Elephas maximus indicus: one gene and its partners. The protein of the gene in region 3 interacts with the protein of the main gene of each other region in a pairwise test. Links are inferred from orthologs where the notes say so. Each region holds a gene or a part of one and is shown on either strand. Other genes may lie near its edges.

Evidence for each region.
Region 1: the proteins of RAPGEF4 (region 3) and SWAP70 interact in a two-hybrid assay, tested with the Homo sapiens proteins (2 studies listed by BioGRID and IntAct). The link is inferred for Elephas maximus indicus from reciprocal best matches to the Homo sapiens genes RAPGEF4 and SWAP70.
Region 2: the proteins of RAPGEF4 (region 3) and BMERB1 interact in binary tests that used the Homo sapiens proteins (3 or more experiments, as listed by UniProt). The link is inferred for Elephas maximus indicus from reciprocal best matches to the Homo sapiens genes RAPGEF4 and BMERB1.

Annotation. Positions count from the first base shown.
Region 1 is NC_064825.1:64,806,838-64,816,681, reverse strand, and holds the start of SWAP70 (switch-associated protein 70), read right to left. Parts: upstream 4,156-9,844; 5' UTR 4,075-4,155; coding exon 3,976-4,074; intron 1-3,975.
Region 2 is NC_064830.1:76,034,314-76,044,272, reverse strand, and holds the start of BMERB1 (bMERB domain-containing protein 1), read right to left. Parts: upstream 4,600-9,959; 5' UTR 4,487-4,599; coding exon 4,381-4,486; intron 1-4,380.
Region 3 is NC_064824.1:70,834,471-70,844,770, reverse strand, and holds the start of RAPGEF4 (rap guanine nucleotide exchange factor 4), read right to left. Parts: upstream 3,892-10,300; 5' UTR 3,700-3,891; coding exon 3,635-3,699; intron 1-3,634.

The DNA of each region.
Region 1 (9,844 bases), on a different chromosome or scaffold from region 3:
GAAGTCCTGATAAATGCCTGATTAATTTCTGTCTCCTGCAACAGCTCGCAGGATTCCCTACAGCTAACAGCAGTCAATAAATAACAAATGAATGAATGGAATTGGCTTAATCTTCACTTATTTCTACCTAATGACACCCTAGCTTCCTTCAGAGTTCATTTTGAAGAAACTTTTTTCATGAAGTAATCTTACCAGTAGGACATAATCGCCTCTTCCTCTAAAATCTCATGGCTTCTTATCTTTTATCACATTCAACATCTTTACCCAATATTTCCATATGTCTAAAGTTCTTATCTCTACCTCCAGACTTTTCATTTTTTAAGAATAGGATAATTGTCTGCTTAATATAATCTATATATAGAATGCCTTCTCTAATGGTTGCTTATTCTCATTTGCTCACCAAAATTTAAACTCTTTGAAGACAAAGATTTCATATTTGTTTCTTTTTCATTTTCATTGCCATATCCATGCCTATTTGCATACGGCACAGTGTATAACATATGAAGTATTCATTACATATTTAATGCATGTGTCAAAAGTTCACTGTGTCAAAAGTTGTGAATTCAAAAAGACAAATGCAAAAATATTTTAGAATACACATATACACTTCTGCAACAATCATTTTTAGCCCTTATTTTGGAGATGTAATTTTTAGTTTGTTATTTAATAAACCAATTATATGACATTTCTGTCAAGGAGATATTAACCTCTAAGATCCTAAAAATACTAACCTTTTTATGAAATTAGCACAGTACCTTACACACAGTACACAAACAAAAGGATATTGTATGAACTAATGAATAAATAGTAAATTATGGGAAAAAATTCTACTCCTGGCCAACGGATCAATAAACATCAAACTTCAGAGTCAAATACTGAAAAGAAAAGAACTAAATAGAAATTTTAAAATATTTTCCACTAGCAGGAGGAACAGAACTGAATCAAGCCCAAAGTTTTTCACTTAAGTAGAAAAAGGAGAGACAAAATATAATTGCACAGTTGCATTATTAACATCTCAAGGGTGAAAACTATGAACTGGCATTTAATACTTCTTGCCAAGCCTGCTGTCAAAAATCCTCTGGACACTTTTCCTATAAGCAGCCACTTGAGTATGTTATCAAAAAAAAAAAAAAAGTTTTTAATGGAATGCGACAAAAGTAATAGGGGAACATCTCATTCACACCACCAATTGGAAGAAAGGAAATGAAGAAAGCATTGGCTCTAAAGTTTTAAAATCTTAGTACTAGACTTAGCTACGGCTTACAACTGTGAGGTTGGGTAAATCACTAAAATTTCAAAAAACTCATCTGTCTCGCCTATAAAATTAAGGAGTAAATATCTGAATATAGAATAAACTATTCTTCTCTTAAGACCTCTAAAATATGCATGATGGTTGAAAACAAGATTTTACCTGTCTCATGGGGTTTTCAAGGTATGTGGTAAATTAAGAAATATGACAACTAAAACAAAAAGAAAGAAAGGACCTGTGTGGTGATACGGTTTCTACATTCCTCTTAAAGTAGTAAAATATTAATTCTAAGTAGACTGTAAAAAATTAGCTTTCTATATTATATAGAGCAACCACTGAAACAACTATTACAGAAATACAGCTCAGAACTCAATATTAAAGTAGAATATGAAATATATTCAATAATCCACAAGACAGCAAGAAAAGAGAAAAAGGAACAAAAAAACCAGAGAAAACAAGCAAATGAAATAATAAAGTGGTAGCCCTATATCCAACAACATCAATAATTACATTAAATGTAAATGGTCTAAAAAAAAAGACATGTTGTCTGCAAGAAACACACTTTAAATATACTCATATAGGTAAGTTAAAAGTATTGCAACTCCACTCAAAATCACCAAAAACTGGAAATAACACATTCTTTGAAGGTGATGGATAAACTATTGTATATCCATACAATGGATTGTTGCTTAGCATTAAAAAGGAAAGAATTATTGATACACAACACAGATGAATCTCTAAGACATCATGCTCAGTAAAGCCAATCTCAAAAGGCTATATACTGTATAATTCCATTTATATGACATTCTGGAAAAGGCTAAAGTATAGGGATTAAGAACGGATAAGTGGTTGCCAGTGATTAGGAGTGGAGGGTGGAATGTTACTACAAAGGACAGCATGACAGAGCTTTCTGGGGTGATGGAAACTTTCCATACCCTGAACATGTGGCAGTTACATGAATCTATACATGAGTAAGGCACAGTTAAGCACCTGCACTATAACAAAAGGTTAGTGGTTTGAATCCACCCAGAGGAACCTAGGAAGAAAGCCCTGGCAATCTGCTTCCAAGAGGTCACAGCCTTGAAAAACCTACGAAGTGCAGTTCTACTCTGGTGTACGTGGGGAGTTTTGGGTTTTTTGTTTGTTTTGGGGTTTTTTTGTTTGTTTGTTTTTTGTTTTTGGTATACATGGGTCATAAGCTAAAACTCAGAACTGTACACCTAAAAGGAAACCCTGGTGGTGTAGTGGTTAAGTGCTAAGGTCGGCAGTTCGAGTCCGCCAGGCACTCCTTGGAAACTCTGTGGGGCAGTTCTACCCTGTCCCATAGGGTTGCTATGAGTCAGAATCGACTCAACGGCACTGGGTTTGGTTTTTTTTTTCTTCTGGTTTTGTACACCTAAAAAGTCTATTTTAAACCAAAAAAAAACCCCACTGCCTCCTAGTCAACTCCAACTCATAACGACCATATAAGGCAGAGTGGAACTGCCCCATAGGGTTTCCAAGGAGTAGCTGGTGGATTCAAACTGATAACCAAAAGGTTAGCAGCCAAGTCTTAATCACTGTGCCACCAGGGCTCCAAAAAGTCTATTTTACTCTATGTTAATTTAAAAAATAAAGTATAATAAAACGTAAAGGGATGATCTCTGTGGACCCTTCCAGACTATGAAAAAAAGAGAGGGGAGGAAAGGAAGACCAGAGGGAGTTCTAAGTCCTACCAGCATAAAAACCAGTGCTCACAAGAGCCCCTTGATTACTGCACAAAACATATAAAGCAACCCAATCTTTAAAAATTCTTTTCCAGAAGAGGCTAAGAAAATCAGTCATTCAGATTCAAAACGTGTGTATTTTAAAATGCCTATGAAGGGCTCCTCTTGTCTGTTTCCATATTTTATACTTTCAAGAAGCTGCCAATTTCTCCTGGCTGAGCGCCACTATCCCTGTTTGGGGTTAATTTACAGTCAAAACTTTTCGACTCGACGGCACTGGGTTTGGTTTTTGTTTTATTTTTTTTATACGCTCACTTAGCGGTGGAGTCTTTGGCGGCGACGATATAGACGGTGCATTTTGCAGGGTGCTAGAATTTTTTTTTTTTTTTAGAAAAGCAGTGCTTCTCACCCGTAACTAAGGTGCCTGGCGGGACACAGTTCAACCTCCAGTTCCATACCTTGAAGACGCCAGGCGGAGGTTTTCTCAAGCCAGAAAGCTTTCCCCACAGCCAAAAGTCTCCACAGGAGGAGTCCACTGAAATCCGAGCTCTGGGGCATTTCTCTCTACACTGAATCCCCCCGTGCTCAGGGGGCGGCTGGCCGTTTTGAGGTCTTGATGTGGGACTGTGGACTATAGAAGGTTCTGCCCTGTGACCTTCCTTGGGCACGTGCCTTCCTCTCCCTCTGCGTAAGGAGGAAACTCTACTGGAGGTTCCGTAAGGGAGCTTCCCACCTACCTCTCCGAGTGCAAAAGATCCTGGGCCCCCGCGCCAAGAGGGAGCCCGGCTGGCCCCTCACAGACCCCCACCTCTCAACTTTCCCCCTCAAGGCAGGCCCCGAGGAACGAAAACTCTGGCCCGACGGCACCGCCTGCAGGCAAGGGGAAGGCAAAAAATGCCAAATCCCGGTCTCTGGCCCTCCGCCCCGAGCAGGCAGCCGGGCCGCATTCCGGCCCCCTCCCCCGCCGGCCCGGTCGGGTTTGCACCCGGGCGAAGTGGAGCGGGAGCCGGGGACGCCCACCTTGAGCTGGGACTTGGAGACCTTGCCGCTGTGGTCCAGGTCCAGCGCGGTGAAAGCGTGCCAGATGGCCTTGAGCAGCTCTTCCTTCAAGCCCCCCATGGCCGCGGCTTTGCTGGCCCGCCTGTCCCGCAGCCCCTCGGCGCCTCTGCCGCTTGGTGGCCTCGGCGGACACCGCCCGCCGCGCGGTCACCTGACCGCGGCAGGCCCCGCCCCCGCCTGGACCCGGCCTCCCCGGACCAGGTCCCGCCTGGACCCGCCCACTCGACGCTCGCCCGGGGCCAGAGCACGGCGCACCGGCAGCTTGGGGTTTTGGGGGCGGCCCACCCCTGCCGGTAGGAATGCCCGGCCTTCTGCCCCGGCTAGGACGGCAGATACCACCCCAATCCTCCGAATGTTCCCCAGACAAGCTCGGACCATTTTCCGTGCCCGCTTACACCCCAAATAAGCGCCCCCATCCCAGACTGGGTGAGCTGCCTGCCTGGCTCCGGTGGATGCCCCACCGTAAGAAAGGGAACCCAGGCCCTGTGCCGGAGACTGAGTCGCTGTCTGAGGAGAGTAGTGAAAACCCCGAAAAGTCCCTGGGCAGAGTCTCAAATGCTAGAGCAGTCCCCCAAGTAGGAGAGAATGTGGAGGGTGACGGAAGGCGTGAAAGGGCCTCTGGGGAGGCGCTTCATTCATTCAGCAAACGTTTATTGGTGCCTTTTTTTTTGGTTTACTCTGTAGTGTGCTGTGAGGGCAAGAATCAAGATTTAAGATGTGTCATTCGACGGCACTGGGGATTTGGGGTCATTAATTGAATTGTGTCCCCCAAAATACCTGTCAACTTGGCTAGGTCATGATTCCCAGTATTGTGTGATTGTCTACCATTTTGTCATCTGATGTGATTTCCCTATGTGTTGTAAATCCTATCACTATGATGTAAAGAGATGGATTAGTGGCAGTTATGTTGATGAGATTTGGAAGATTAGATAGTGTCTTAAGCCAATCTCTTTTTATAAAAGAGAGGGGCAAGCAGAGAGACATGGGGACCTCCTACCACCAAGAATGAAGAGCAAGAGTTCACGTCCTTTGTACCCAGGGTCCCTGCACTGACTGAGAAGCTCCTTAACCAGGGAAGATTGGTGACAAGGAACTTCTTCCAGAGCCGAGAAGAGAAAGCCTTCCCCTGGAGCCGATGCCCTGAATTTGTCCTTCTAGCCTACTAGACCAGAAGAGAATAAATGTCTCTTTGTTGAAGCCATCCACTTGTGGTCTTTCTGTTATAGCAGCACTAGATGACTAAGAATTTGTTACACTGGGGTGCCTCCAGGAACTTTTTGGTGAAGCTACTGAGCTTTGGAATGCTTGACCCAGCAGGGCAGATGCAGGTGTGAGCCCCGAGGGCAGAGAGGCCAAGGAACCAGGAAGCCTGAGTCTCAAAAGGTATGGCCAGGACCTCTGGGGTTTCAAAGGGTGGAACCATGGCCTCTGGTGTTTCGAAGGGTGGAGTTGCCACTCAGATGGATGAGGAGATTGGTGCATCTAAAGCCGAGTGAGCAGAGTTGCCATCCCAGTGGGCCTGAAGGCAAAGCTGAAGCCCAGAACCTAGGGGTCTCCACTCAGAATCTAGAGATTGTGGGAAATACCTACAGTCTGGAGGGCAGGGCCATTATGTGAATAGGCTCAGAGAACAGAGAATTATTTTCAAACCTTGGGGGCTAATGTAATGTGTTCTGCTGACTTGCTTGGTGCCTGTTATACCTTCTTTCCCTCCAATTTCTCCCATTTATAATGGAAATGTCTAGTTTGTGCCTGTTCTGCCATTGTGCTTTGGAAGCAGGTGACATGTATTCTAGATTTCACAGATGAAGAAGAATTTTTGGATTTGGGACTTGGAATTGATTTAAGACTTCTGCTACGATATGATGGGGTGAATATGTTTTACATGTGGCAAGAACATGAATTTTGGGGGGCCAAAGGGTGGAATGTCATGGATTGAATTGTGTCCCCCAAAAATATCTGTCAGGGACAAGGTGGTTGTAGAAAGCAGAGGTTCAGGTAACCAGGTAACCTTTTCTCTCTAACCTCCAACTTTTGAGGGTCAGTTCACACCTTATGAAGGGTTTGACCCGGGCAATGCTGTTGTTTCTGAGCTTGCATAACCAGAGATCCCCAAGGACCCCATTATATCACTCCACCCATCTTACTCATAAGAATGGGTGGACTGTTAAACACACTTATCCAAACCTAGAACAGCATCCTCCACATTGTATATGTCCAGTTAATCTCTGGAGCTTAACTGGTCACTTGAGCTCTTTGGACCTTAAATACTCCGCATATAAAATGAGCACGACTGAACCAGATATTCTAGAAAGATTCTTCCAGTGCTGGCATTCTAGGATAATAATTATCGTTGGCACACTCTAATCTGATTAAGTCATCAGGCACAGTGCCTTGCCTCTCCAGCCCAAGACTGAATCTGGACAATATTTAGAGAACAAATGCCAGGAATTTTCAAAACGAGATGGCTTTCAGAAAAAGTTTGGTTTTATGTACCTTTTATGTTCTTTAATGCACACAGATGTACCTTATTAAGGAAGGAAAAAATCATGATATGGAAGAGGAATTTGGAAAGAGCAGAAAAAGGAAAGCTGCTTCAATGAGCATGAGGTCAAATAGGAACCTGCTTGGGGCAGAGGATTTGGGGGCAGAGGAGAGGACGGCCTGCCTGAAGGGAAAGGGCATAAGAAAGGGACTGTCATGTCAGTCCCTCACCATGAGGGCTTTGGAGGCTCCACTCCACTTCACCACCATTTCTCAGGACTTCTCTTGCTCTGCCAGAATCCACCTTGCCAGTCAGCAAAAATGCGTAATTTGAACCTCTAATTTTTTCATGCCAACTCAGCTTTCCCTGGGTAGTGACAAAAACAAAACCCCCCTAACTCTCAAGGTTCAGCTTAACCACCAGATAACACTCCTTCTCTCAATGTATCTGATCTGGAAGCACCAAACAGATTCAAAGCCCTTTTTTTTTTTTCTTTTTTTTTTTTTTAAGGACATGAACAGAATGATATCCCAGGCTTCCAAATTTCCACTCTTCCACATTCCCACTCTTACAATTCAAACAAATTTTAAAGCATCATGATGTCATAGAAAAGAGCTGTGCTTTGAGATCTAACAAATTTTATTAGTTCTCTGTTGCAGTGTAGCCAATAACCCCAAAATTTAGCAGCTTAAAACAATGATAAACATTACCTTTTATTTTATGTGGGTCAGGAATTTAGAAGCTGCTTAGCTATATAGTTCTGCCTTCAGGCCTCTCAAGAGCTTGCAGTCAAGTTGTAGGGCAGTAGTCATCTATGGCTTGGCTGGGGCTGGAGGATTCACTTCCAAGGTGGTTCAACAGCATAGTACTGGTTATTCACAAAAGGTCTCAGCTCCTCCCCACATGATCCTACCCACAGGCTGCTTGAGTGTCCTCAGCAACACGGTAAATGGCTTTACCCACAGCAATTGATCCAAGAAAGAGAAAGGTAGACACTGCAACATCTTTTATAATCTAGCCTCAAAAATCACTCACCAGCATTGAAACAGCCTAAGCGTCCATCAGCAAGATGAATAGATAAACGAAATGTACATATATATGATGGATCATTACTCAGCCATAAAGAAAAATGAAGTCCTGATACATGCTACAACATGGTTGAACCTTGAAAACATTATGTGGAGTAAAGCGAGTCAGTCCTAAAAAAACAAATACTGCATGATTCCACTTATATGAACTATCTAGGATAGACAAATGTATAGAGACCAAAGTTTATCGGTAGTTGCCAGGGGCAGGTGGAAGGGAGGGGAAGAGGTAGTGCAGTGCAATGAATTACTCAGTACGGCCCTGCTAACCATAGTCTTTGTAACTCCCACCAAATAATTAGATGGGACCATGCTAATAAGGTATATGGAACCCTAACAAGGGGTTGGTCAGGTTTGCCATCCCCCAAAAAATGGAACCCTAACAAGAGGTTGGTCAGGTTTGCCATCCCAGTAGGTTTAAAATGAGCCATTCCAGAGGCAGGAAAGAGAGGATCTCACCAGCACCAAGGAAGAAGGGCAGAACATGTCTTTAGACACAGGATCCCTGTGCTGAGAAGCTCCTAGAGAAAGAGAGAGCTGTAACACTGAAGATGGTGAGAAGCAGTGACAGGAGATACCAGCAGGAGATGGCACAGTGGGCTTCCTGGCCCAGGGAGCAAGAAAGCCGAGTATCTTCCAGCAGGAGGCTTGCTGGCAGAGTAGGATGCCTCATGGCACTTGGTGGAGCTAGGTTTGCCTGCCCACAGAGCTAGAGCTGAGTACCTTAGGGCTAAGAATTACTGGCAGAGTGGGGTCCCTCAGGGTACTTATTGGTAGAGCTAAAAGAGACTTATAACACTTGCCTGAGCAGGGCAGAGACCAAGGGGCCAGAGAGAGGCATGCCTGTGAGTGTGGCTGAGAAGAGGTTGTCCTGATGGAAAAACTGTATCCTGAGTATTCCTCAACCTGAATTGTAACCTCTGACTTCCTGTTATGGATTGAATTGTGTCCCCCCAAAAATGTGTGTCAACTTGGCTAGGCCATGATTCCCAGTGTTGTGTGATTGTCCACCATTTTGTCATCTGATGTGATTTTCGTATGTGTTATAAATCCTACCTCTGTGCTATCAATGAGGCAGGATTCAAGGCAGTTATGTAATGAAGCAGGACTCAATCTACAAAATTAGATTGTGTTTTAAGTCAATCTCTTTTGAGATATAAAAGAGAGAAGCAAGCAGATGTGCATGGGGACCTCATACCACCAAGAAACAGGAGCCAGGTGAAGAGCACATCCTTTGGACCTGGGGTTCCTATGCTGAGAAGCTCCTCAGCTGGGGAAGATTGATGATGACAAGGACCTTCCTCCAGAGTCGACAAAGAGAGAAAGCCTTCCCCTAGAGCTGGCACCCTGAATTTGGACTTCTAGCCTCCCAAACTGTGAGAGAATAAATTTCTCTTTGTTAAAGCCATCTACTTGTGATATTTCTATTACAGTGCACTAGATAAATAAGACACTTCCGTAATAAACTCTGTAATTGTGAGTATTGTCTGTGAGTTCTGTGCGGCCATTGTAACAAATTATTGAACCCAGCAGAGAAATAGAGAGTGCCTTGGGATGAATGGTTGGTGTCAGAATTGGAAAAGATGGCAGAGAGAGGACGCATGTCTGACCTCCACCTCAGAGGAATCAGCCTTGGGCTGTTGATCTTGATTCCCCTCCCCCCTTGTGAAGTTAGAGGAGGTCAGATGCTGCCCCACCCCCACCCCATGCCACTTTTATAGGAGGACTCACTGCTTAGGGGACACTGATTTTCTGTTAAAGGTGATGGAAAATTTGGAAACAGATAACGGAGATAGTTGAAAAACATAATAAACTAGTCACTAAACTGTACATGTGAAGAATATTGAAATGACAAATGTTTTGTTACATATATATTTACAACAAGAAAACATATATGCAGTATATTTACTATACCAAAAAAAAGTCACTCACCTTCATTTCTGCAATAATCTATTGATTACTCAGGTCAGACTTACTTAATGTGAAAGAATAACTACTCAAGGGCATGAATACCAGGAGACAAGAATCACTGGGGGCCATCTTGGAAACTGGCTACCACACAGATATGGGGCAGAAACTACACCCCTATTTGCTTATTACCTATGAGTAAATGGAGATGCTAATATTTATCTTACGAGACTGGTGTTAGGCTTAAAGGAGAGACTAGTCTGTATGAGACCCAGTATCATGTATCTTGCAACTGTTGATGTTTGGCTCATGTGGTAGTTTTATACTGTGCCAAATTAGCTAAGCTGGAATT
Region 2 (9,959 bases), on a different chromosome or scaffold from region 3:
TAACACACACCAAGGGCCTTTGCATTCACTACCTGAATTTCTGCTATTGACACAGCAAAATGTCACCTTAGAGAAGCATTTCCTAATGACTGGCTGGGAATATATCCCTCCCCTGATAATTCCCTAGGAGAACTGCCATTACCTGAACTACCTGGTTTGCCTGTGTATCGTCTGATACCCTCACTCCCGCTTTCCCCTGAACAGAAGCTCCGTGAGAGCAGGGACCTTGTCTGTATTGCTCACCTGTAGGCACAGCCTCTAGAACACTGCCTGGCACCTACCTATAAGGCACTCAATATGTTTGTTGAATGAATAAATGAGGATGAGGGAGCTGATCATGGTTATTTTTCAGTTTTATTTTTATATTTCTTGTAAATTTGAAATTTTTTAAATAAAGTACACGTAGTTCTGTAACAAAAAAAAAAAGAAATAAAGCTAAAACAAAATCCAATTGAAATAATAAAATTAGCATATTTAATCATACAGATGAAAGTAACACAAAACTCCGCCCAAGAAGCCATTACATAGGCTGCCAGTAATTCACATCATCTCAGTCTCTGTGCTATTTATTAAACCTGAAACACTGGCTGATTTAATGATCCGCTTGCTAGTCAGTACACATCCTTGGACTTTTAAATAATAGTCATCTCTCCTGGGTTTATAAAGATTGCTATTTGAGCTTTCCACCTTGTTCTAGCCTCCTGCTCGCAGCACACTGATTTCCACCTTTATGTTTTTGCCAGTGCACTCAGCCCCAGCTCCCCACATCCAAAATCTTGACCATCCTTTAAAGGCCATTCAATGTCTACCAATAAATGGTCACAACAACAGACAACTCTGTTTTTTTAAAAAGCTCTGGGCTTTTCCACAAGGCACCTTGCCTTTGTGTCTCCCTCAATTATTAACAGTTGGTTGAAAGCAATATTTTTTATATCTAACCACACTGAAATGTCATTATACATTTTCCAACTGAGTAAAGGAAAAAAAAAAAAAAACACTGTTAGCAGAAAAATGCTGCCAAAGGTGGTGTGAGCAATTTGCGCAGGACCTTTCTCATACAAAAGAACACTGGACGGTCTTCAAGGAGTCAAAGGCCCTTCACCCTCACTTTCCCATGCGGAAGGCAGTGGGCACACAGTTGTTATCAGGAATTTGCAAAGAAACAGAAACAAGGGAAAAGAGAAAGACCCTCAGCGGGATGGATTGACACAGTGGCTGCAGCAATGGGCCCGAACATGGCAACGATTGCGAGGATGGTGCAGGACTCAGTGGTGTTTTGTACAGTTGTACGTAGGGTCACTAAGAGTCGGAACTACCTCTACAGCACCTAACAACAACTCCCGTCTCCAGCTATCATGCATAATAACACTGACTTGGCATCTGTTAAGCCACAGAATCAATAGTACTAATTTTCACACTTCATTAATAAATAAATGGAGGCGCCAGACATTATGGAATAGATGCCCTGAGAGTTGAGAGGGAGTTCAAAAAAAGCCACTTTGTCAGAAAAATGCCAAGCTCTAGACAAGAGTATAGAGATTAAAAACTGCTAAAGGTAACCAACCCAGATTCAAGATTCATATTTGGACCCTGGATCAATACTTTAAGAAGAATTCAAGGCTGAATAGGTAGAAAATTAAACACACACACACATTTGGGGATCTATGCAAAAGCAGATCAGTAACTGCATTCCTACATTTAAATACAGAGCAAGAGTGAGATTTTTTGACAGCTTGGAACAGAGAGAATGAGAAAACCTTTCTGCTAGACTTTGAGCAGTTTGCAGCCTGGGACTTAGAAGCATAAAAATTTCAAGGAGGCAAAATGCTATAAATGGGTGATTACTGCAATTTTTCTGTATGTTTGAAAATGCCGCCAATAAAATGGTGAGAAAAGAAAAAGCTAAACTAGGGAACTCACCACCACTAGCGTTTTGGTCCAGGGTGTTGCTGTTCGTAATTTTTGCAAAGCATAAAAGCAGGTTCCTTCTATAGATGTAGTAATAAAATAACGGAAGCAGCTTCTTGAGCTCCAACTACATCCCCTTATTTAATATTTGCAATGAAGCTATAAGGTAGACACTATCACTGTTTCTACTTTCAGAAAACAGAGGTATGAAAAAAAAAACCAAAAAACCAAACCTAATGCCATCACATTGATTCGGACTCATAGCAACCCTATGGGACAGAGTAGAACTGCCCCATAGGGTTTCCAAGGCTGTAAATCTTTACAGAAACAGACTGCCACATCTTTCTTCTGCAGAGCAGCTGGTGGGTCCAAGCCATCAACCTATTGGTTAGCAGCTGAGTGCTTAACCACTGCACCACCAGGACTCCTTTGAGGCAGAAAGAGGCTTAGAAATGTGCCTAAAGTCATATAGGCAGCAAGGGACAGAGCGGGGATTCAAATTCAGGGCTTATTCAAACGCAGCTTCTACTCTGCATAAACCCCAAAACCCACTGCCATTGAGTCGATTCCAATTTACAGCAACCCTACAGGACAGAGTAGAACTGCCCCATAGGGTTTCCAAGGAGTGCCTGGTGGGTTCAAACTGCAGACCTTTGGGTTAGTAGCCAAGTTCTTAACCACTGTGCCACCAGGGCTCCTTCTACTCTGCATAGACCCTGACATTCTTCCAAGTCCTAAAGCCACTGTGACCACAGGGGCCAATAGGGATTCTCTCCACAGACTCAGGAAGGTTAGTGAAAAACATGAAGGCAATAAACCTTCATGACTAAGAGCAGGGGCTCTGGGTTCAAGTCCTGACTCTGCCACTTAATAATCCTATCACCTCACAATCCCCAACATTTTCATTTGTGCAAGGGGAGTCATAAAACTCATCTCAGGAGGTTGTTACAGGAATTAAGTGAGATGATACATTTCTTAGCGCAGATAGATAGTTGTTGCCATGTGTGCAGAGCAGAACTGCTCCATAGGGTTTTCAAGGCTGTAGCATTTCAGAAGCAAATCACCAGGCCTGTCTTTCAAAGTGCCTCTGGGAGGGTTTGAACCACCAACCTTTCAGCTAGTAGTCAAGGGCTTAACCATTTGAGCCACTGAGGGACTTTAACATATGGTAATCTATCAATCAATAAAAGGAAACAGAACTCCTCAGCCTTGATGACGGACCAGAGCACCAAAGCCAAACGGTGTTGTAAGGATGAAATAGGGAAGAAGACACAGGTCTAAAAGTAGAAGACAAGACAAGGCGGGAGGTGGAGAGTCCTATGGCATGCATCAAGTGAAGCACTAAGACCTTCGATTGTGATTTGAACTTGAACGCATCAGAAGCAGAATACAGCTGAGCCATTCTAGGAAGATGTTCTCAATTTTTAATTTTAGGTATAGAGAAAGAACACACTCATGCACAACGCAATTTTCTATCAACGACAGGAAAAAAGCAGATTCACAATACTTTGGCCCAGCACAGCTCTGAGGTTGGCGTGGGTAAGAGCGCTGAGCAGTTACCTAGAGCCAAGGCCGGAAGCTGCAGGCTCCTTGAGAAGGGCAAGAGGGCCTTTCCCAGCCTGTGGGGAGGCAGTGTTCTAGGGCGCGAAATGCAAGGGCCGAGGCACTGGGAAGCCCCGTGGGTTTGCAGAAAGGGCTCATGACCCTAGTGCCCCTCTGGCTGCCTCTGCACTTTGAGGGCAGGAGTTTCAACTGTTGCACTCTACTAATTAAAAACGAAAATCCTTCGTTTATTTGGAAATGTTGTTGGCACCAAAAAAAAAAAAAAAAAAAAAAAACAGAGAGAGGATCAGCAAATATAGCCGACTTGTTTCGGAAATGCATTCCAGGATTGTACCCAAACCAAAGACTTGAATTGAGTCAGCGGACAAAGGAGAAGAGTGTGCACAATGTTAACCTTCCACTACCGTTTTCCCCACCTCCTCCGGACCCAGGAGAAGGGAGGAAAGAAAGCTGGAAATTTCAGGCGTGCCCTGAACCTCGCGCCGGTGGAAAGCACAGCGGAAACCCAGCGGACACTCCCCCCTTTCCAGGGCTGTGGGCGCTTTCAAAGGATGGTCTTACAGCTCAAGCACCCTAGCGCATCAGGATTGCGAAAGGACCCTCCTCCCTGGCCTGCGGGAAAGACTCTACTTTCCTAGACCAGTTGCGAGCTAGCGGATCCAGAGTCCAGCCCAGGCTCCCGGCTTAGCGTGCCTTGTGATTTCCCGAGCCTCCCGGTGTAGCTCAGCCCGGAGTGTCCCCCTTTTGTTCCCGGGGAGAGCGCTTTGCGGCGCATCGCTGCGCATCCTCCAGCGCAAAAAGCGCCGCCGCGGGGGCGCTGCCTTTGCTCCACTCCCTGCGTTCCCCGCGCTCTGGCGACCACCGGCTCGGCGCACGGCACCCCAACTGACCCCCCGCCCGAGTACTCACTTCTCTCCAGTCCCTCTGCTTTCCACGCTGTCTCCTCCACAGCCCCATAGCGCCTCAGAGGCTTCTCAGCTTCTAGATGGGTGGACAAGGATTGCTTTAACTCCATCGCTGATTCCCGCGGGCAGGTCGACGGATCTCCCTTTACTCCATCCCCGCCGCGGGATGCAGGGAGGGAGGCGGCTCCAGCCAGCAGCGCTTTAAGGGGCCGGGAGCTCGTGACGCTGCTCCATCTCTTCCGCCGGCAGGGCCGGGGAGCGCCGACTGGTACCCAGGGGGAGGGATGCAGGGCACATGCGCAATGGAAGATTGGAAAAGGCTTGGGGGGCTGGGTAGGGAGAAAGAGGCACAGATAATAACTCTAAGAAGTAGAACAACAACGGCTAAAACAAAATCAACCAAAAGGGAGTAAGAACAAGCCCCCTGCCCATACTGGAGCTGATGGATAGGGGTTTATGCTGTTGGATGATTTGCAAGGGGCTGGCACTGCAGGTGGCTTGTGATCTGCCAGCGGGCTCCTAAGCCGTGAGTGGGATTCGTGAGCGCGTCTATCTGTGAGCGATGGATCCATCTTTGTGGGGAGTGTGCAGAAGCACGAGTGTGGACCTGAATCTGTGGGTTCTGTGCTTGGCTGAGTGTGTTTTCGTGAGGATGTCTATTCTTTGCAACTGTGAATGTGAAATTAGACAGTCTTGTCTGTGGATGCCTGTGTCGACTTTGTATGTGTTTGGGGTGGAGGTACAACACAGCTGTTGGGAACATGGATCTCTACCTTCCAGAAACCCAGAGTTTTATGTTACTCATGGCAACATGGAAAGTATAAAGAAAAATATTTGGTAAAATCAGCACCAATTAGATTGTTGAAAAAGTAGTAGTATTTATTATATGACAGCTAGGTGCTAAACACTTCCCAACAACTGTATGAAACAGATACTTTTTTTATTAGCCTTGTTTCACAGAAGAGGAAGCTGAGGTGCAGAAAGATTATTTGCCCAAAGCCTACACTTACTAAGTGGTCTGGTCAGGACTTGAATCCAGACCCCAGATACTAGCCTCTTTGTTATAGTGACTCCCTAGACTGCAGTTATGGCAGTTTGTATCATACAAACAGACTCTACAGGACATGGGTTATTTGCTTGTTTGTTTTCGAGACATCATCTGGGGCAATCCTGGGATTCACATGTCTTCTGGAAGTGTAAAACAGCACAGATTTCAAAGAAAATGATTTAGCACCTGTTAGCAAGAGACTTAAACATTTATTATCAATAAAGGACTTCTAAAATGTAATCCATATAATTGAATTGTATATGTAGAAACTTTGAATTGGTGTATGCTTTGCTGTGTGCATTCTCAACAACAATGAAATAAGTAAAATTAATATTTTTTTAAATGGTCTTCCAAATAGCTCATGGGAGAAAAGGAAATAACAACAACAAAAATTTAGACCTGGATAACAATGATATTGCCGCATATGAAAACTTGTTTAAGCCACATTTCAAAACTTGTAAGTTCTGATGTAAGTAAATCTATAGCTTTAGGTGTGTGTGCTAAAAAAAATAAGACTAAGAATAAATGAATTAAGCATTCGACTCAAGAGACATAATATTAAGAATGAAAAGGGAGTCATAACACAAATACAGTAAGATTTTTTTACTTTGAAATGAATACTTGTCTTAAAAATATAAACTATCAAAATGTATTTAATAAATAAAAAAAACAAATCAATAGCTATTACAGAAATTGAGTTGTTAATATAGAAATGTATTTCCTTCCTCAGTTCCACAAAGGCAACAGCCCAGACGGTTTTACAGGTGAGTTTTACCAAATAACAGATAATTCTTATCTTCTAAAAATTGTTTCAGAGTTCATTTTATGAGATACTATAACCTTGATATCAAAGCTAGCTTAAAATGGTATAGTGAAAAAAGACCAACCTCACCTACAAACACATTGAGGTGGACCCTTAAGATATATGCCCTTTACTGCATAGAAGTTATACATCAATAAAAAAGAAAATTAAGCCAACTAAATAAAAAAAAAAAAAATAGAAGGGTGTATAATCCTTAAAATAAAAGATGGCTGGTGAGTTCAGGGAAGTTAGTCACTTCTTTATGTTGAAATATTTTATAATTAAGAAAAAAATAGCTAGGCTTTTTGGAGCCTGGGAATGAACCCTAAGAAATATTTGAAATGTTACAAAATACTTCACACAAAATGTTTTTTACAATTTATATAAAATGTGGAAAAACTACAAAAAGTCTGATATCCTACAAAAGAGAAATGATTCAATAAATCAAGAACATGCCAAGCAATACATGATGGCACACTTATTTAAAATGATGTTTACAAGGAGTTTGAATGTCATGGGAGAAACAATATTAATCAAAACCTAAGGGGGAAATTAGGATACAAATGATAATATATAGTGTGGGCTACTGTTCTTGATCTTTTGGCTAAGATCAAATGTACACTGTGATCTCAATTATATCACATATTTCACAGAATGATAATGATAGAAGGAGCCCTGGTGGCACAGTGGTTAAGAAGTCTGCTGCTAACCAAAAGGTTGGCAGTTTGAATCTACCAGCTGCTCCTTGGAAGCCCTATGGAGCAGTTCTATTCTGTCCTATGAGTCAGAATCAACTCGATGGCAGTGGGTTTGGTTTGGTTATATATACATATCCAGGAAAAAACAATAACACTTAAATGATATATACAAAAATGTTAATAGTGACTATCAATGAATGTTGAGATAGTATAGAATGTTTTATCTGTATTTTATAATGTATTACTTTTTAATCAGAAAAAAATCAATCATGTTTTTAATGCATGGGAGAAAAAAAACTATGAGTATATACACCAAAATATTAACAGTGGTTGTTTCCAGGAGTTGAGATTTTGGGAAAATCTTTTTCTTTTTAATTTTCTGCATTTTCCAATCATTTATACTGAGCACATATTGTTTTATAATTCAAAAGAGAATGAATTCCATTTCTAAAAATGTGTGAGTGATACAACTCTGTAATCCTAAAGGACAAAACTGTCCCTGCCACAGCAGTGCCCAGAGCCCGTCTGTTTGCATTAGTTTAGGGTGATAATGCTTCAGGTTCAATAGCTGGTTGAAGTAACCACCTGCGTGGAATTATCAAGTGGCTCTTGTCCAGCCCTGGCTTCTCATCCTGGCTCAATGCCTCGGCTCTGCTGGGAATGCCAAGGACTCGGGAGGGATACTGGATGATTACAAAGGGCCAGGGCGGCAGGGGCCGGTGCAAGACACTTTTGGTTGATTGAGACGGAAAATAACGTAGTATCATCTTGGTGATTTGATACTTCATCCAGCATGTCCACCATGTCAAATGTACATGATACTGAGCTTATCCGAATGGCATGGTTTTCAAAAATATGGGCATCGAAGTCAGAAGGACCTAGGTTGAAGTCCTGGCTCTGCCATCTACCAGCTGTATCATCTGTGTGCTATATCAGTTAATCCCTCCAAGCCTCAGTTTCTCCATCTTTAAAATTCTAATGGCACTAGCTCTCCCAGACAAATGCTATGATAACTAAATTATATACTCACAACAGCACCCAGCACATAGGAAGGCCTCAATACATGTTAGCTATCATCATCATCATCATCATTATCAGAGCTAAGCACTGTGCTAGCTGATGTTTTGAGCTCTGACCCTATGGGCATTTACCAAATGAGGTCTCCAAACCAAAAGCAGAAACCTATTAAAATATTACTGAGTGGAGAAATTTGAACCCTCATACACAGTTGGTAGGAATGTAAAATAGTGCAGTCACTTTGGAAAATAAGTCTGTCAGTTTCCCAAAAGGGTAAACATAGAGCTATCATATAACCCAGTAGTTCTACTCATAGGTATACACCTGAGAGGACTGAAAACATGTATCCACCCAGAAACTTGTACATAGCAGCATTTTTCAGAATAGCCAAAAAGTGGAAACAACTCCAACGTCCATTACTGGTGAATGGATAAATAAAATATAGTATGTCCAAACAATATATTATTATTTGGCAATAAAAAGGAATGAAACGACAACAAAAGCATGAGCAGCAAAGGTCAAAACAGATAAATGGGATCTCATAAAAATGAAATATTTGTGTTCATCAAAGGACTTTATCAACAAAGTGAAGAGACAATCTACAAACTGGGAGAAAATTTTCAGTAACCATTTATCTGATAAGGGGCTAATATCCCAGATGTATTTTAAAAACTCCTATTATTGAGTCAGGGAGCCCTGGTGGTGCAGTGGTTAAGCACTCAGCTGCTAACCAAAAGGTCATCAGTTTGAACCCACCAGCAGCTTCATGGGAGAAAGATGTGGCAGTCTGCTTCTGTAAAGATTTACAGCCTCGGAAACCCTATGGGGAAGTTCTGCTCTGTCCTTTAGGGTCGCTATGAGTTGGAATCAACTTGACAGCAATGGGTTTGGTTTTCTGTTTTATTATTGAGGAGAAAACAACAACAACAAAAATCAATCAAAAAAATGTGCAAAGGACTTAACAGACAGTTCACCAAAGAGGATATTCAAATGGCCAATAAGCACATGAAAAGATGCTCAATGTCATTAGCCATTACCAAAAAGTCGAACCAAACCCATTGCCATTGAGTCAATTCTGACTCAGTGACCTTATAGGACAGAGTGGAACTGCCCCATAGGGTTTCCAAGGAGCGGCTGGTGGATTTGAACTGCCAACCTTTTGGTTAGCAGTGGAGCTCTTAACCACTGTGCCACCAGGGCTCCTCATTAGCCATTCCAACCAAACCAAACCCATTGCTGTTGAGTCAATTGATTCTAACTCATAGCAACCCTATAAGATAGAGTAGAATTGCCTCATAGTGTTTCCAAGGAGCAGCTGGTGGATCTGAACTGCCAACCTTTTGGTTAGCAGCTGAGCTCTTAACCACCATGCTACCAGGGCTCCCATTAGCCATTTAAAAACAAACAAACCCCACTGCCGTCGAGTCAATTCCGACTCATAGCATCCCTATGAGGACAGAGTAGAACTGCTTCATAGGGTTTCCAAGGAGCACCTGGTAGATTTGAACTACTGACCTTTTGGTTAACAGCCATAGCTCTTAACCAATACATCACCAGGGTTACCATTTGTCTTAGTCATCTAGTGCTGCTATAACAGAAATACTACAAGCGGATGGCTTTAACAAAGAGAAATTAATTTTTTCACAGTCTAGTAGGCTAGAAGCCCAAATTCAGGGTGTCAGCTCCAAGGGAAGGCTTTCTCTCTCTGTTGGCTCTAGAGGAAGGTCTTTCTCATTAACCTTTCCCTGGACTAGGAGCTTTTCTGCGTAAGAATCCCAGGTCTAAAGGATGTGCTCTGCTCCCAGTGCTTCTTTCTTGGTGGTGTTAGTTCTCCCCTCTCTGCTACCTTCCCTTTCCTTTTATCTCTTGAGAGGCCACACCCCAGAGAAAATCCCTTTAAGTTGGATCCGGGATGTGACCTGGTAAGGGTGTTACAATCCTACCCTAATCCTCTTTAACATAAAATTATAATCACAACATGGAGGACAACCCAGAATACTGGGAATCATGGCCTAACC
Region 3 (10,300 bases):
AAATTAAACAATGGACAGGACACTAAAAAAAAAAGTGGCATTTAACTATCTTAAATTCCAAATGGTGTTCACTATGTAATTCATCCTTGTTATCACCCCTAAGCAGGATAAGCTGTAAGATCAATGAAAGTAGTAAGCTTGTTTCGCTTTAACAACATGTCTGTTGATACTTTTTTCAATGTCTGGATGTCCACCCAAATGGTCAATGTCTTCCTGATTTTAAGATTAGTATGTGTAGAATCTTATCTCCTAGGTTCCACCATAACCCCAGGGCTGGATACTTGATACATAAAATGCTTTGGATAACCTTTCTTTAATCTAATCCACATATCTACATATTGTTCAGCTCCCTCCTCCACATACAGGTTGGTGCAGCATCGTCCTGTCCATGATAAGTTTGCTAGGCACACCTACTGTTCACGCCGAAGGCATTACTTTCCTTGTTTTGTTTTTGTTTCTTTGCTTCAATTTTCATTGCAAACTCCTTTATTCCTGCGGGCTTTCCACTTTAACTTCCCTTGTTATTTCCAACAAGGGTGCTAGGCGGTGCAGATGGTTTGTGCTTGTCAACGAGCCAAATGGTGGGCAGTTCAAACTCACCCAGCAGCACTGCAGAAGAAAGGCCTGGTGATCTGTTTCTGTAAAGATTACAACCACAAAAAAACCTGCAGAGCTCAGTTCTATTCTGTAGCACATGGGGTTGCCATGAATTGGAATCAATTCCATGGCAACTTGTTTGGGTTTTTTGTTTTGTTTTGTTTCCAACACCTGGGCTCCTCTTTTTCTAGCTGCCCATAACAACTGGCATTTGCAAAATGCATATATTTGAACTAAATTTCCCAGCTGTGGAAGAGGTTCCAGCAGCAAATCCCCAAATAGTATAAAGGAGTTCATTGTACTATTGCCTCCATTTTTGTATATGCTTCAAATTTTCTATAATAAAAAGCTTTATAAAAATAGGCCATACACTTCTATAATTCTAGATTTGGTTACAAGAGGTATTTGTGGTTGGAAAGAAATTAGCATATTTATATACCACACCTTTGAGTTTTTACACAAGTTGCTCCCTCTGCCTGGCATGCCCTTCCTAGCTCTGTGCCTGGTGATATTTCCTTCATCTTCCCAGGTCTAGGCAGGAACCTATGGGAAATGCCCTGGCAGAGCCTATGACTCCTCCTTTCCTTTCCCAAAGCACTTTATACATCTCCGTTAAAGCACTTACATATTGCATTGTGGTTAGTTGTTTATGTAGCCGCCTCATTCCCTGCCCTCCATCCCACAGGCTAATAAGCAACTCCGGTGTACAAACGCTTTTCCTCATTTTTGTTGCATCCCCCAACACCCAGCACAGTGCTCGGAATAGCGAATCATGATTGCGTTTCTCAGAAACACAGAGGGCAGTGTCTGCACCAGAGTGGCTTCTGGGGACTTACCCAGCCACTTCCACAACACCCTCAAACTCCCCCTCTCCTAAAAAATAAACAATCTAAGTAAAAATTCAACACCAAAACAAGTCCCCCAAGGCCCTCTTACAATGAGATTGCCACTCCTAAACTGTTCTTCATAGGAATTCCAGCATCAACACTACGAAAAATGCAAGCTTCCCTTAACACCACAAAATAAAATACTTAACAAGGCATCTCACAGTTTTCAAAGTACCTTTGCCCTGTCTTTTTGTTGTTGTTGTTGTTGTGTTTTAATCCACTCATCCCTGGGAGCTAAGGCAGACAGTCCTAGACTTGTTTTTCAAACACTCAAGGAAGTAGAAGTGACATGTCCAAGATCGGAGCCGGTGACAGCTCTGGGCCTAAAACCTTTAGTTACTGGTCTGTCGCTCTCCTGCATCCCACTAATGTGAGGCTCCGTGTTTACGGTGGGATTTTTTTCCCCTGGTAGACTTTGTTCCCCATTATAAATGGTGGCATTAGATTGTGGCACCATGTTCTAAATATCCATTTCAAACAAAGTCATTTGGGCAAATAAATACACATTGTATTTAACAGACAAATATACCCGTCTTGTGTTAGTATTGCTGTATGATTTTGCCTTAAGTTCTTATTGACTAAAAAAGGCTTCCAAATGAATTACCAACAGTTCAAAAATGCCATGCCATGCATTTCTGCAAATAGAAATACGTAATTATCTAAAAAAATTCACTCAAGAGAAAGCACTACTCCTTATAGTTTAAGTGCAAGAGCTTGATTTGCTCTTCTCTTGTAATTCATCTTCCCTAAACTATTAAATTTAGATTACTTATCACATTAGCAGACTCTTCAATGTGCTTTTAGTTCCTCTATCTAATTCCATATGATTTAACCATCACTTCAATTCTCTGACTATTTATTGCATGCAACTCTTCTAATATTAGTACATATCATTTTAGACATAAATAGGACACTGTCTGCCAAAAAAATCTTGCTAGTGTGTGGTAATTAAAGTCAAGATTATTTCTCACATATATTAAGTTATTCAAATGAGCCACATTTAGCTCTCCTCAAATTAATTTTTTTAACAAAGGCCTATAATAGTAGAGTATGCAGCTCATGTCACTTAAGATTTTCAAATTTGATCTGGTTATGAATCTGCTAATTGTAAAAATTTCAATATGGCAGAGCGCAATATTTCACACAAGTGCAAAGAGAGATGACATGCAGATAGCTGCAGGATGTGAATCACTGCCCTTTTTTGCATGCAACTCCGAAATCCAGAGGCAGCTCACTCTGCAAGATTTCTTGCTCCGTTCTTAAAAGTTCAGATGCATCACCTTTTAATCAGGGTAAAAAAAAAAAAAATTATAATTACTAACATACCGTGTAATGTTTACTGCTAAACCTACAATCTGGCCAAACAGAATATTAGGCTGTCAGAGCCCAAAAACAATTGCAGTCCGCTGTTACACACAGCACCCTTCTTACAGGGCTGTCGTCTAGAGTTGGAATGGTTTATGGTTTTAATTGTTTTAGAAAAAGGGTCTTTTCCCGAGAAGACGGTATTGAGACGAAAGCAGCCTCCCGCGTGACCTTCCTAGCACAGACCTTGAGCCACTGACTGCGGGGGCAGAGAGTTGTGATTTTCAGCAAGGGACTTGACAGCTCTACTGGGTCCCTCACACTTTGCTTTCGGGAACAAAAAAAAGAATGTTACTCTGCACCTGCCTCTTCTCCTAAATTATATTTACCCCTAATTAAATCACGTTTACCCCTAATGGTCTGAATAGCCGGAAAAAGATATGACTCTATTCTTCTGTTCCGTGATCCCAAGAGAAAATAAACCCCCATCCAAAAGCGGAGGCTGGAGTCAGGGGTGGGCGGGGGGCGAGGAGAATGGGAAGAAGAGGGCGGGAGGATTGCAAAGGACGGTGCTCTCTCCCCCCACTGCGCTGCCTTTTCTCCACCACGTGTAACAATCTCAAGCAGGTGGCACCCCAGGAGAGGCTGGGGTCTGTGTCCTTCTGCATCCCGGACAAGGACTCTCAGCCCCTTCCCCAGGCCGGGGGCCCTCGCCACCCCGAGCCCCAGCCACGCTGCGCCCCGGTATCCAGCTGCGGCACCAGCGGCCGAACCCACGGGCGGGTTTGGGGCAAGGGCAGCGCCGCAGAGCCCCGGACCCCAGCTGGGGACCCTTCCCGAGATACCTTTTATCCAGGCAGGCGATCCACTCGGTTGAGGAGGAAGAATGGGCAGCGTGCGCAGCGACCATGTTGGGCAGCGGTGCGCGGTGTCCCCGGCAGCGGCGACCTCCCGCGCTCCCTCTGCCTCAGCCTGCACCTAGCAGGGGGTGCGGACTCCACTCCTCCCTGCCTGCCCTGCTGCGAGCGCGGCGGCGACGGACCCGCCCTCCCAGCGGGCTCCCGCGACCTGCGGGGCAGGGGGACTGGCGAGGGAGGGGACACGAGGGGCGGGACGCGGGGCGGGGAGGCCCGAGCCGCCCGCCCGCCGCTGTCGGGCTGCAGTGCGGCGCCCGCGGTGAGGAGGCCCGCGGTCCCGCCCGCCTGGGGGGCGGGTGCCAACCCCGGGTGCGGCCACCTGCTACAGGTGGCCACTGCGTCCCCAGGAGACCTGGGCCCCGCCGCTCATCTTGGGGCCTCTGAAGCGGAGAAGGTGGGAGGGCGCCACGGGTTTGTGTATGGTGTATGGAGATGGGGGGTGTTGTCAGTGTCTATATATTTTTCATACAGCAAATGCCACTAAAATGGCTGCTGCCTCTCCGTTTCCCTAGGAACCCACTAGTCTTCCTCAGCAGCTGACAAAACTTGCTGGCGGTTTCTTGCTCACCTTTGAAATGGGGTGAAGGATAGGGGTATTGAGACTTGGGGGATGGGAATACTCACAGTGGTCTCTGAGTGTGGAATCCAAGGGACAATTTATCCTAAAGGGTGAGGAAGAGCTGAAGAAGCATTGCACGAATGGTTTGAGACAGAGAGGGGAGGTCAGTGGGCCAGAGGTGCCTGGATAGAAAAAGGTGACCAGTGGTTACTGAGGGAATCAAAAACGGAAGTCACTGGCCGTGAACCTTGGACCTGCTTGGACTTCCAACTGCATGATGGAAAGAAATGCAGTGAAGAATGGGGAGGAGTTGGGTTACAGCAAAACTGAGGTTTAGGAATTTGGGACCAAAATCCCGAGGCACTTGGGTGAACTTGGATAGTTGGCTCCAGACACCATTCTTTCCATGGCTGGAGTGTTGAATGGATTGTCATAAGGGCCTGTGTATTGCAGGTGTTTATAGCAAATGTGATGCCTAGAAGTTGTTCGGTTACACTCTGCCAGAAATCAAAATAGTCCCTCACAGTTATTTAGCAATTTAGGGACAAGTTAAATCTTTTGAATGAGTGTTCAAGTGGTGCAAACGGTTAAGCACCAGCCAGAAAGGTTGTAGGTTCAAACTCACCCAGAGGTCCCTCGGAAGCCAGGTGTGGTAATCTGCTTACTAAAGGTCACAGCCTTGAAAATCCTATGGATCAGTTCTCCATGAGTCAGATCGACTCCACCAACAACAAACAGGCACCGTTTGGGTATTTGTGGCATGAGTTTGGGGACAGACAATGGGGAAAAAGGCATAGCACTGTTTTCCTCGCTTTGGTGTTTTGTTTGTTTTCTGCTACCCACTCCTCACTCCCCTGATCAGAGGAGGTTCCAGGAGACTGGGGAGAATGAAACATAAAGTGCGTTCTGGGATACTTCTATCCTTATACAACTATGGTCCTGTTAAAGCCCTCCTAAGGATGTGTGTTTTGGGAGGATGTGCTAGAAAACCCTGGTGGTGTAGCAGTTAAGTGCTACGGCTGCTAACCAAAGGGTTGCAGTTTGAATCTGCCAGGTGCTCCTTGGAAACTTTATGGAGCAGTTCTACCCCGTCCTGCAGGGTCGCTATCAGTCGGAATTGACTCAAGGGCACTGGGTTTGGTTTTTTTTTTTGTATTTTTAAGGATGTACTGTCTCCCCTCTGCTCCACAGCCAGGATCTGGTTTCAGACTGCTCGTGTCCTGCCAGCCCAGATGACCTTCATCCTGCTCATTTCTAGCATTTGTAAGGTAAATCACATTTAAAATATTATACTATAAACAGATTAGCAAAGGTATTTATGTTGTTGCTTTTTTAGAAGACAAGTATGAAGGATGTAATGAGTTTTATGTATTTATTAAATTTTATTTATCAAGGCATTAAAGAGAGCTACTGATAATACTTCAGGATCACCAAATGCTTTCTCAAAATGCCTTTACTCAGAGAATGTTTAGCGGTAAGGAGCTAGTGGAGAGATAAACTGCACATGCACATCACCTGTCATTACACAGAGCCTCAGGGTTGCCATGATTTTCAGCCATGGTGTTGCCTTTGTGTGCTGTCGAGTCAATTCCAACTTATAGCGACCCTTTGGGACAGAGTAGAACTGCCCCATAGGGTGTCCTAGGCTGTAATCTTTACGGGAGCAGGCCACCAGGTCTTTTCTCCAAAGGAGCTCTAGGGGGTTCAAACTGCAGACCTTTAGGTTAGCAGCCAAGTGCTTAATCACTGAGCCACGCTCCCCAGGCCCACATGGCTCCCACCATGCTGCCTGGTGGCGGGGGGGAAGCATGTTGCACAGGGCACACTCAGGCCTCTGCCTTGCACAGGCAAATGTTACAGCTCTTTGGTAGCTAGCAAACCTCCTGCACTGAGGCACCCAGTTCTCTCTCCATGGGGCCAGCCCACCATCTCTCTGTCTTCAGTGTTACAGCTCTCTCTTCTGGGGTCTAGGTGGTTCTAGGTGGTTCTTGGCACTGGGACTCTGGGGTTCAAAGGACACACTCTGCTCCAGACTCTTCTTCATGGTAATGAGGTCCCCCTAAACCTCTATGGAATTGGCCCTTATATAAGCCTGGCAAGATTACAAAACCAACCAGTCCCCTAGCTGGGCTGTAAGGGACACAATCCCATTAGGAAAATTTTCACACCACTATTTGCATAGTAAATCAACCAATCCCTTACAAGATTGTGACCCAACCAATCATTTTGTGGGAGTTACAAGACCATGGCTAGAAAAGCCACATAAAAGTGATTTGTTCCACTGCACTAACAACGTAGTACATCTTCTCTCTGTTGCCCAAGAAGCCCAAGAAGATTTTCAGGCTGGAGTCAGGCATCAGTCCCCTGTGCACAAACTATAGGTAACTGTTCCTTGAGGGACATATTGAAGCCCTCCCTTCACTGCCATTGGAGGTATCATATCACTGGTCTCACCAAAGAAATAGTCTTCACAAAATCTTCCCTCAGTTTCCACTTCCTAGACACTTTCATTTCCTTCTTTAGAGAAAGAGTTTAAGACTCATGAAACTGGTCTTTGGTATTTTGATTGAAAGTCTGCATCTCAGCACCTCGCTTTGGAATTTCCTATCTCTTCTATTGTGGTGCCTCAGATGAAAGTTGAGTTTAACATCTGTGACTTAGGCAAGTGAAAACTGAATCAAGTCATCTTCCTTTCCTACACCTTCTACATTAATTCCTACTCAACCATGGCAATTGCCTTTTCCAGGCAGGGCTATTCATTTGGGAGTTGTAAGGAATACCACACTCATTAGGAAAGTACAGCTCATGTGGTCCCTTGAGCTCTCTAAAGAAGAAATGTGTAATTAAAAATATCTAATCAGGAAAATCCCAATTCGTGGGTTATAATCAACAACTTAGTGGTTTCGATTCAAATTTTTGAATATTCGTTCTTTTTTTTTTTGAAGTATATTTGCACTAAAACCTTTAAATGGTACTTAGGAAACAGGAAAGTGGCTAAAATTTTGTTTACAGCGACACCAATACAAATGACCAGTGTTTAGCACCTTAATATTTATAGTACTAAATTAGGTATTATTACATTTCTTTATGAGTTTTAGAAGCAGAGTTTTTTGGTATTTGAATCATGATGGCACGTAAAAGCCAAGTAAAATTAAAGAGGAATTAACTATTTCATTTTCATCTCACTTTAGAAATATCTAGCTTTGTGGCATTGGAATGAAAACAAACAACAAAATACCTTAAAAGCAAGGGAAAAAAAAAAAAAGGTACTGGGTTGTCAGTGATGGCCTTCCAGTTTCCAGAGCCACGAAGAACTAAAAATGTTTAAACCCTTGGTTGTTATATTCCCTGTGGAGGAAATATGTACAGTTATAATCCCTTGTTTTACAGAAAAGTAAATTATACAGTCAAGAGGCATAGTTAAAATGAACCCTCTCAAGTAAAAACAGACAAAAAAAACTTCAAAGTTAAAATCTGTGAATTAGCTGTTAATGGCACCAAGTCCTACCAGAAAGAACTTTCCCTCAGAAGTGAAATTATATGCTAGAGAAGCACACTGACTTCCTGTAAAGAAAACTGGTAGTTACTTGGATTATTTCGTATAACATCACAGCCTGCCTATCTAGGAGTTTGTGGGAAAGTGCTTGTTACCTCCACCAGGCCTCCCTCCCAGAAGGGACAATCCCTCGGGAGCCAAGAATGGTGAAAGTCATTGATATGCAAATCATTCCCGCACAAAATAGGTCTGAGGGCCAGTCAGGTTCACCGCTCCAAGGATGCCATAGCCTTCCTCACCAAAACTAAAATAAACCTAAACCAAACAGTTGCCTGTCGTGTGTCAGAGTAGAACTGTGGTCCATAAGGTTTTCTTTCAATGGCTGATTTGCAGTAGATTGCCAGGACTTTCTTCCAAGACTCCACTAGGTAGACTCAAGCCTCCAACCTTTCAGTTAGCAGCTGAGAGTGTTAATAGTGTGCACCCCCCAGGGACTCCCACCAAAACTAAGGCTATCCTAATTGCCAAAGTGTTCTGCATGCCACTTCCTCAAGTCAAGTTGGCAAAGTAACAGTGATAAACTTGAGCAAATAATTTGGGGTGAGGAGAATGTCGCTGTGTTACCCCATTAGTCTTTCCTGGTGGAGTTTATCCATTCTGGTAAAATAACAAGATGTCATTGCTTTTTGATATCCTTTGAGAGAAAAATAGTGTACCATTCAACTTGGGAAATTCTACCTGTATTATTATACACATTTTTCACATTAATAGAGAAAAGTACCATAAAAACAATTTCCAGCGAATTGCAGTCACCCAGTATTTGTTATACACATTTTTCACATTAATAGAGAAAAGTACCATAAAAACAATTTCCAGCGAATTGCAGTCACCCAGTATTTGTTATAGTTTCCTTCCCCTCTGTAATTCAATATGGGCTCCTACATACTTCAAGAATAGACTATCTTCCAGAGTGAATCCCACAGAGAAAATAAGCACTGGAAAGAGAGAATGTGACTAAAGATCCTATTGATTATATTAAACCAAGGGCATGCAGAACTCAAGGGGAGTAAAAAAGAGAATTTTCATTTAAAGTAAGAAACACATAAAATCTTTACTGATGTTATGGATTGAATTATTTCCCCCAAAAATATGTGTTGTAAATACTAACCTCTGTGCCTGTGGTTATAATGCCATTTGGGGATGGATCGTCTTTGTTATGTTACTGAGGCAGGATTAGTGTAGGGTATATCTCAAGTTAATCTCTTTTGAGATATAAAAGAGATTAAGCAAGCAAACAGAGGAGAGATGGAGTGAAATAGATGCCAAGATACTCGGACATCTCCAAGGAACCAGGAAGCAGAAGCTGAAGAGACAAGGACCTTCCTCCAGAGCAGAGAGAGAAAGCCTTCCCCTAGAGCTGGCACCCTGATTTAGTACTTCTAGCTTCCTAAATTGTGAGAAAATAAATTTCTGTTTCTTAAAACCACCCCCTGTGGTATTTCTGTCATAGCAGCACTAGATAACTAAAACAATTGGGTAATAAAATAATGAGTTAATCCCTTTCCTTAGGTAGCACTAATTTTTCATTTAGAAAATGTGGTTGTGCACAATTAGTAAAGAAGATACATTTTATTGGCATTTCTAGATTAGAAGTACTGGTTCCAGAGGTAGAAAATAATCAAAATGTTTAGGAAAAGAGTTCATGGTAAGAAGATAGGATCCTTTCCCACTGTGGCCTCTGCAGGGAGTAATACCCTCCCTTCTGGACCAGGTGGACAACACCCCTTCAGTCCTCCAAGTCCTCATGAGGGGAGATTCCTCCTCTGTCAGCTCTTTTCTCTGCCTGGTGCCCCAGAGGCCTGGCAGCTGTGATCCTGGAGGCTCCTTACCTCCTCCTAGGAGCTGCGCAATTTAACCCTGGAAATAGAGCCTTCCCTTCAACTGAACCTAGGCCCTAACCTGCTTATAATAGGTTTGTTTGTACCTCAGATGGCCCCACTGCCACCCACTTACCTACCTCCCAACTGACTGTAACGATGGAGACTTTCTTCATTTCTTTGTGCCCCTTAATTCATCTAGTCATTCAGTTCAATAAAGATTTGTTGAACACCTACAATGTGCCAGGCTCTGTGCTAGACACTGAGGAAAGAGCAGAGAACAAACAGACCAATTCCCCGCATGCATGGAACATGGTTGCAGTTGGTAAATTGGGAGGTAAGCAAGTAAACTCATATAAGTCTGTTGGGGATAAATGCTATGAAGAATAATAAAGCAAAATAAGGGCATACAGGGAGACAGGGAAGGGGCTTCTATTTTGCGTAAGGTCATCAGAGAAGGCCTCCCTGATAAGGTGATATTTGAGCAGTGCATGGGGCCCGTTCTACACACCACCTGTCTCACCCTCAGCCATCTCAGCCAACCAACTCTGTGCAAGCCCATGAGGCTTCACTGCCTGAGGCTCACCAGCCCCAGGCCTAGACTATCTGGCTCCTCTCCCGGCTTCCAGACCCATCTAAATGGCAAACTGCAAGGCCTTCTT